Linked DNA regions of Macaca mulatta. The protein of the gene in region 2 interacts with the protein of the main gene of each other region in a biochemical or structural test. Links are inferred from orthologs where the notes say so. Each region holds a gene or a part of one and is shown on either strand. Other genes may lie near its edges.

The links. The genes of interacting proteins can lie anywhere in the genome.
Region 1: the proteins of TBP (region 2) and MSX1 form a complex in vitro, tested with the Homo sapiens proteins (2 studies listed by BioGRID). The link is inferred for Macaca mulatta from reciprocal best matches to the Homo sapiens genes TBP and MSX1.

What each region holds. Positions count from the first base shown.
Region 1 is NC_133410.1:8,115,602-8,119,577, reverse strand, and holds the start of MSX1 (homeobox protein MSX-1), read left to right. Parts: upstream 1-1,176; 5' UTR 1,177-1,423; coding exon 1,424-1,892; intron 1,893-3,976. UniProt on the Homo sapiens protein: Acts as a transcriptional repressor. Capable of transcription autoinactivation.
Region 2 is NC_133409.1:1,484,013-1,487,512, reverse strand, and holds part of TBP (TATA-box-binding protein), read left to right. Parts: intron 1-799; coding exon 800-887; intron 888-3,206; coding exon 3,207-3,298; intron 3,299-3,500. UniProt on the Homo sapiens protein: The TFIID basal transcription factor complex plays a major role in the initiation of RNA polymerase II (Pol II)-dependent transcription.

The sequences.
Region 1 (3,976 bases), on a different chromosome or scaffold from region 2:
GCACAGATCTTGCATCTCCCCTGACCCCAACTCATTTTTTCCTGTTACTTTCTTTTTATTAACAGCAAACATTAAATCATGTTTTCTCCGAAATCGGCAAAACAAAAGTTCTCAAGTCCCGCACGAGAGTCCACCGCCAGGAACTGTCCTCTTTTCCCGGCCCCCTCCCCCAAATGTGACTTTCCCCTCCAGAATCAGCGACCCAGAGATAGGGACATGTCATTGTTTCCGCGGACGCGTTGTTTGAGGTCACGTTAAGGTCAGATCGGTGTTTTGTTGATGTTTCTGTTGGTTTTATTTCTATATCAAAAGAATCCGGCAGCTCCTTTCCCTGGCCGGGCCCTATAGGTGTTGTGACCCTCGGGACAGAAGTTCAGAGCGAGGGTGGGGGAGAAATACACATGGTGTATGAAAGCCGACTCCAGATTCTAGATAATCTTATGTATTTTCACATCCTTGGCACCACAGGAAGCTGGCTTCTTCCCGCAAGGTTTACTCCAGCTCTGAGTTAGAGACAAAGGCCCACTTTTACCTCTAGGTAAAGTTTAGAAGATTTCAGAACAGGAAGAAAATGAAGGTTTGATTTTGTTTCGTTTTTTGGAAAGAAGTTAATAGTATGTCTTTCTCCTAGGATAAATAGCCATGCGTATTTTAAAAAATATATAAAAGGAATGTATAAGAAATGACCTCAACTCAAATTATTGTAATAGAAGAAGGGGGGGGGGGTCAGATAGTGGAGAAGGCACAGGGAAACCCAGCCACAGACTAAAGAGAAAGGTAAAAGAAGCAGTAGAGGAGAGAAACAAGGACGGGGGAGGTGGGAAGAGTAGCGGAAAAGAGGGCTGAGGAGCGGAGGGGAGGAGAGGAGGACAGAAGAGACTGAGCAAGAACAAGGGAAAATCCCCCGGGAACACAGAAAGATAGAGACCCAGGGGGACCCCCGCAGAGAGGGCCTCCTGGGCTTCAGCGCGGAGGAAAGTTCCCCGGGCACCCCCTCTCCTCTCCTGCCCTCCGCCGCCTGGGCCCTGCCCTGCGCGCCCCCAGGCCCAGCGCGCCTCCGGGAGAATCCCCAGGAGCGCGGCCCAATGGATCGCTCCGGGCCCGCCCCCTTGCGCGCTGATTGGCCGCCGCCGCGCTGGCCTCGCCTTATTAGCAAGTTCTCTGGGGAGCCGCGGCAGGGCGAGGAACCGGCGGGTGCTCCCGGGAACTCCGCCTGTGTTGCGGCGGCGGCGGCGGCGACCACCAGGAGCCAGGCCCAGCGCGCCGGAGCTGGCCTGCTGGGGAGGGGCGGGAGGCGCGCGCGGGAGGGTCCGCCCCGCCAGAGCCCCGGGCGCTCCCAGAGGCAGGCAGCGCTCCCAGCCCGCCCCGAGCCCATGCCCGGCGGCTGGCCCGTGCTGCGGCAGGAGGGGGGGCCCGGCTCTGCATGGCCCCGGCTGCTGACATGACTTCTTTGCCACTCGGTGTCAAAGTGGAGGACTCCGCTTTCGGCAAGCCGGCGGGGGGAGGCGCAGGCCAGGCCCCCAGCGCAGCCGCGGCCACGGCTGCCGCCATGGGCGCGGACGAGGAGGGGGCCAAGCCCAAAGTGTCCCCTTCGCTCCTGCCCTTCAGCGTGGAGGCTCTCATGGCCGACCACAGGAAGCCGGGGGCCAAGGAGAGCGCCCTGGCGCCCTCCGAGGGCGCGCAGGCGGCGGGTGGCCCGGCGCAGCCACTGGGCGTCCCGCCGGGGTCGCTGGGCGCCCCGGACGCGCCCTCTTCGCCGCGGCCGCTCGGCCATTTCTCGGTGGGGGGACTCCTGAAGCTGCCAGAAGATGCGCTCGTCAAAGCCGAGAGCCCCGAGAAGCCCGAGAGGACGCCCTGGATGCAGAGCCCCCGCTTCTCCCCGCCGCCGGCCAGTGAGTAGCCAGAACCCAGGCGCCGAGGGAGGGGGCCGGGCGGGGTGTGGGATCCGAGGGCTCCTGCTGGCCTCCGGCGCCTGCGTACCTGCAGCCAGTGCTAGGGAGTCGAGGGCTGCAAGGCCGGGTCTTGCGCCTCCCTCCATTCCCACCCAGGAAGAAGGTTCCAGACCTCCTCGCCTTGGCCCGGAGACGCGGGTGGGAGTTAACGGATAGGACACCGTTGTCTGGGCACCCTGTCCTCCTGCCCCCACCAAACGACCCCGGGGGTCCATGATCCCTCATCTGATCCCAAACTCTGTTTCATCGGCTTCACCCCAGCGGATGAATGTGTGTGGTGCGCAGATCTTGCCTGCACCCGGAGTTTCACTTTCTCACAGTAGGAGCTGGCGTCCCCCAGCTCCTCTTCGCTTTCAAGTACCTCTTTGCCTAGAGGTTCCGAAGCTTCTACAGAATTCCACCTCCCCATGCCCTTCGAGTTTGAGGCAGATAGTTGGTGCTTTGGGCGGATGGATGATTCAGGGGTGGGGACACTCAAGTTCCAGTGGAGGGGGCGGGGCACCAAGTCAATTAGGGGAAGGCGCCCTCTTTAATCCTGTCGGAAGCTCACAAATGTCTAGAACTGAGCCATTAAAGTGGACTCCAGGTGCTCAAGGCAGTTCGCTCCAAGGCCTCGCGGCCCCCTGGCTGCTCTGCTCAGAGAACACGCTCGCAGATATTTCAGGAGCACGGGAAATTCCCAAGTTTTCCTCGTTTCCTCCGATTATTTTGCTCGGCATAATAGCAGCCAGAATTCAATGGCGTGATGCTGAGGAATGATTTTTATCTGGGGATTAAACGTCTTTGAAAGGCCAGTCCCTCCCTAAGCCTAATGGCTGGAGAAGGTGGCCCCGCGCTGGGTTGTCGCCGCTGAAGAGAGTGACGTTTCTCTCGGCGCCCGCCCCTCGGGCGGCCCGCCGGAAAGCTAGTTGGGGGCCAAGCGCTTCCCGGACTCCCGGTGGCCTCCAGCGGGGAAGAAGCGGGGTGTTAACACGAGATTTCGTTTGACTCATATCCTGGTGGTCTGAAAGTCCAAAGGATCGTTGTGGGTTTTTCTTTTTTTTTTCTGTTTGTTTGTGGTGGTTGTTTTTTAAAAGAAGTGTGAAAAAATGTATGCTTAGGCAAAACCCGCGTGGTGAAACATCCTCGATTTGAATTCACTTTCTGCCAGGAAAGCTGCTGCATAAGCAGAGTGTCCTTTCCAACGCTTAGGGCCTTGGGCCCCAAGACCACAAAGTCATAGCGATCCCGGCCGTGTTGGGAATAATTTGTTCCACATTTTATCCGGGGGCAGTCCCCAGCGGACCCCATCCCCGACCTGCACTAGTCCTGCGCTCTAATGCTTCTTCACCGTCCACCCTTGAGGTTTATTTTGAAGTCAAAAGAAAAAGACAGCTGGGCATGTTGGTGTCTGCTGACTATGCCACAGGTTGAGGGGAGAGGCAATCTCAACACTTCCCCCCCTCCCCCCCGCCAACACCGACACACACACACACACACACACACACACACACACACACACACACGTTTGAGTGGGGCCAGGGGGCCCTGGCGCCAGGGGTGAACGCAATCCAACAGAGGACTGAGACAATCAAAAGAAAAAGTCCGTTAGAATAAAGCAGCCCCTCGTTCTCCACTCCAGATGACACTTTCTATTTCTAAGAGTGCGGGCTACAGTGCACCCTCCATGATGGTCTGCGCTGCTCCACCTCTGGTCTGCGGGAACTACTCCTAGAATCCCGTAGGAGCAAAGCGTTCCAGGGGATAGTGTAGAATTTGATCTGGATTCTATGCCACAGTAAGGCCTAGCCCCCGCACTGAAGCACTTCGCGGGCACTGATAAATGTTTGGCCAGCATGTAAAACTACATGTGCCCTTGGGCTGGGCGCAGGTCCTCTTTCTGCATGTCTCGTCACCTGTATTAACATCCACCTTTCCTCTGTGTGGCCGTGGGAGGAGGCCGGCCATGAAGGCCTTCCTAAGCCGCCAGGCAGCACAAAGGTGATTCCACATCTTCCCAGCTGTTTGGGCCTTAGACGTGGACA
Region 2 (3,500 bases):
TTTTGCTAAAGACACTTAGCTGTTGTTTTTCAAAAGATACGTACTTTGAGAGAACTCATTTTCATAATAAATAGTGACTTAGGTTTGCCAGGCGTGGTGGCTCATGCCTGTAATCCCAGCACTTTGAGAGGCCGAGGCGGGCGGATCATGAGGTCAGGAGATCGAGACCATGCTGGCTAACATGGTGAAACCCCATCTCTACTAAAAATACAAAAAATTAGCCGGGCGTGGTGGCGCACGCCTGTAGACCCAGCTACTCGGGAGGCTGAGGCAGGAGAATGGCATGAACCCAGGAGGTGGAGCTTTCAGTGAGCCGAGAATGCACCACTGCACTCCAGCCTGGGCGACAGAGCGAGACTCCGTCTCAAAAAAAAAAAAGAAAAAAAGTGACTTAGGAGTAGGGTGGTGGTGGTGGTGGCTTTTCAGAGCTCACAGGTGAGAAATGAGTTTGTCTGTGAGAAGGCTAAGGGCATGGCTCTGGAGACAGACTCAGATCCTGGCACCTCCACTTGGGAGCCATGTGCATCCTGAGGAAGTTGCACTACCTTTAAGCCTCAGCTTATTTATCCGAATGTGGGAATACTGGTAGCTTCTACCATAGTGCATTATAAGTATTAAATGGAATAATCTATATAAAATGCTCAACATGTGCATGATACTTGTTAAACAATAAATGTGAGCAATTTTAAAAAATTAAAGCCTGGTTGAAATAATCAAATGTGTGCATAATTTCTAACACCTCATCCAGTGAAGGTTAAGTAATTTAAATAGTCATGTTTTCTTTTTAAATTTCTTACAGAAATATTGTATCCACAGTGAATCTTGGTTGTAAACTTGACCTAAAGACCATTGCACTTCGTGCCCGAAATGCTGAATATAATCCCAAGGTTAGATCTATTTTAATGTGTTTCTTTTTTTTTCTTTTTTGTCTTCTCTGTCATGTCTCTATATTTTAATGTATTTCACGCTATGTAACAAATGTCTGTAGATCACTCTAGGCACAGTGGCTAATGCCTGTAATCCCAGCACTTTGAGAGGCTGAGGAGGGAGAATTGCTTGAGCCTAGGACTTCAAGACCAGCCCAGGCAACATGGCAAGACCCTGTCTCTTAAAAAAAAAAAAAAAGAAAAAGAAAGAAAAATCGGCCAGGCTTGGTGGCTTACACCTGTAATCCCAGCACTTTGGGAGGCCGAGGTGGGCGGATCACCTGAGGTCAGGAGTTCAAGACCATCCTGGCCAACATAGTGAAACCCTGTCTCTACTAAAAAGACAAAAATTTGCCGGGAGTGGTGGCTTGTGCTTGTAATCCCAACTACTTGGGAGGTTGAGGCAGGAGAATCACTTGAACCTGGGAGACAGAGGTTGCGAGTGGAGATCGCGCCATTGCATTCCAGCCTGGAAACAGAGCAAGACTCCATCTCAAAAAAAAAAAATCTGTATATCAAAGAGTTTGTGTTATGCTTATTCCTTGACACCAACAAAATGAAGATCTAAAGTAAAATGTGCATTGTTTTGTATCTTTTATTGAGTGTCTGTGATATCAGAATCCCTGGGAATACAGCAGTCTATAAAACAAGCTAAGTTACATATATATTGTATTGGGATCATGTGAAGAATTTTGTATATGTATAGGGATGATGTTTGCCAGCTATAGTAGGCAAAGTAATTTGGATAAACATTAGCTGGGTTGAGAGAAGTGTTAGTAATGGACTTAGGGTGCATTTTAAAACCCCTGAAACATAATGCCTAAGATCTGAAAGATAGCTAAGCTAGGGGTCTGAAAAATCTCCTTTTAACCACTCATAATGAGTCTGTATGACATGTAGCATTTTAAGAATTAATCTTTCATCTATTATAATATTTAGTTGAATACATAATTTTATTACTTTATGATCTTAAGTGAAGTGATACTTAACCAATAGAAATAGTAGAGGAAATTCTGGAAATGCAAAATAGCTAGGCTTTTCCTGGGACTTAGATAAACTACTATACACTGCTAGCTTTTTTAGATGTTGATAAAAACACAGGGAAGACATAGAGCAGTTTTTAAACTAAAATTGTTAAAAGCCAGGCACGGTGACTCAGACCTGTAATCTCAGCACTTTGGGAGGCCAAGGTGGGAGGATCGCTTGAGGCCTTCGAGACAAGCCTGGGCAACATAGCAAGACCTTGTTTCATCAGAAAATTTAAAAAATTATCTGGGGTTGGTGGCACACACCTATAATCTCAGCTACTTGGGAGGCCAAGACAGGAGGATCTCTTGAACTCAGGAATTCGAGGCTGCAGTGAGCCATGATTCCAGTCTGCACTCCAGTCTGGGCAACTGCAATCCAGTCTGGGCAACAAAGTGAGACTCTGTCTCTAAAAAAAAAAATTAATAAATTAAAAAAATAAAATTGTTAAAACAATCTAGTTTGTCAGAGTCATCTCAATTAGAAATACATAGGTTTTTATTGTATAATTAAATATAATGTATTAAAATATTTAAGTTGTTTCAAAGTAATTACTTGCTTTTTATCATGTACCTAATAACTGAGGCCATTAATTCAACCCACAGTTGAAATATTTTCCCCATGAGTTACCATCTTAGCAAGAAAATTTTCTGAAAGAATTAACGTGTTTCAAGCATAAAAAGCAGAAAATAAAAGTTAAAACTGTGTTTCTTTCCTAATTTGCATTTATATGTGTTTAATACATTAATATTGTTTCTAAAGGCCAATTGGAAGCAGGATTTTACTTCATTACATACTGGTATGCTTGTAATCTGATTTATTAATTCCATTAAGGTAGAAAACGTTTATTGGTTTATTTGCCTCAAAATTTATATTAATAAAACAAAATTTATCATTAGAGAAACTATAGTCATGATAAGCAGCAAATATAAAGTAGAAACCGAAGCACTGGTATTTATTGAGAACATGACCAAATTTTGCAAACATTTCTGTTGGTGGAATGCTCATGTGAAAGAACATACAGATCTTGGTATAACTTTGTCACAATTGATTATTTTCTGCTCCTTATGCAAAGGAATATTTGTTACATGTGGTGTATGCAAATCCTTTACAGATACGCAGAAATACAGGACAAATATTTTGATAACTAGATGTACTATGTCCTTCCTACCAGTTGTGATTTGTCAATGTGTAGTTCTCCTAACAAAATTGAGCAGTTTGGCATGACCTCACTAATGATTCTCTCTATTTTAGCGGTTTGCTGCAGTAATCATGAGGATAAGAGAGCCACGAACCACGGCACTGATTTTCAGTTCTGGGAAGATGGTGTGCACAGGAGCCAAGAGGTAGCCGTAAGAAATTCATTCTTCTGGTTTATGGGTTGTGAACGAGTTTTTAGGTTATTAGGTTAGCACTTTAACATGTTATTACTGCTTTCTTATTAAAATGGTTGATTCTATTAATTGTAGATACCAGTGATTTCATTTTCTTAAAAATTAGATATGGACAGGTATGGTATCTCACACCTATAATCCCAGGAGGCCAAGG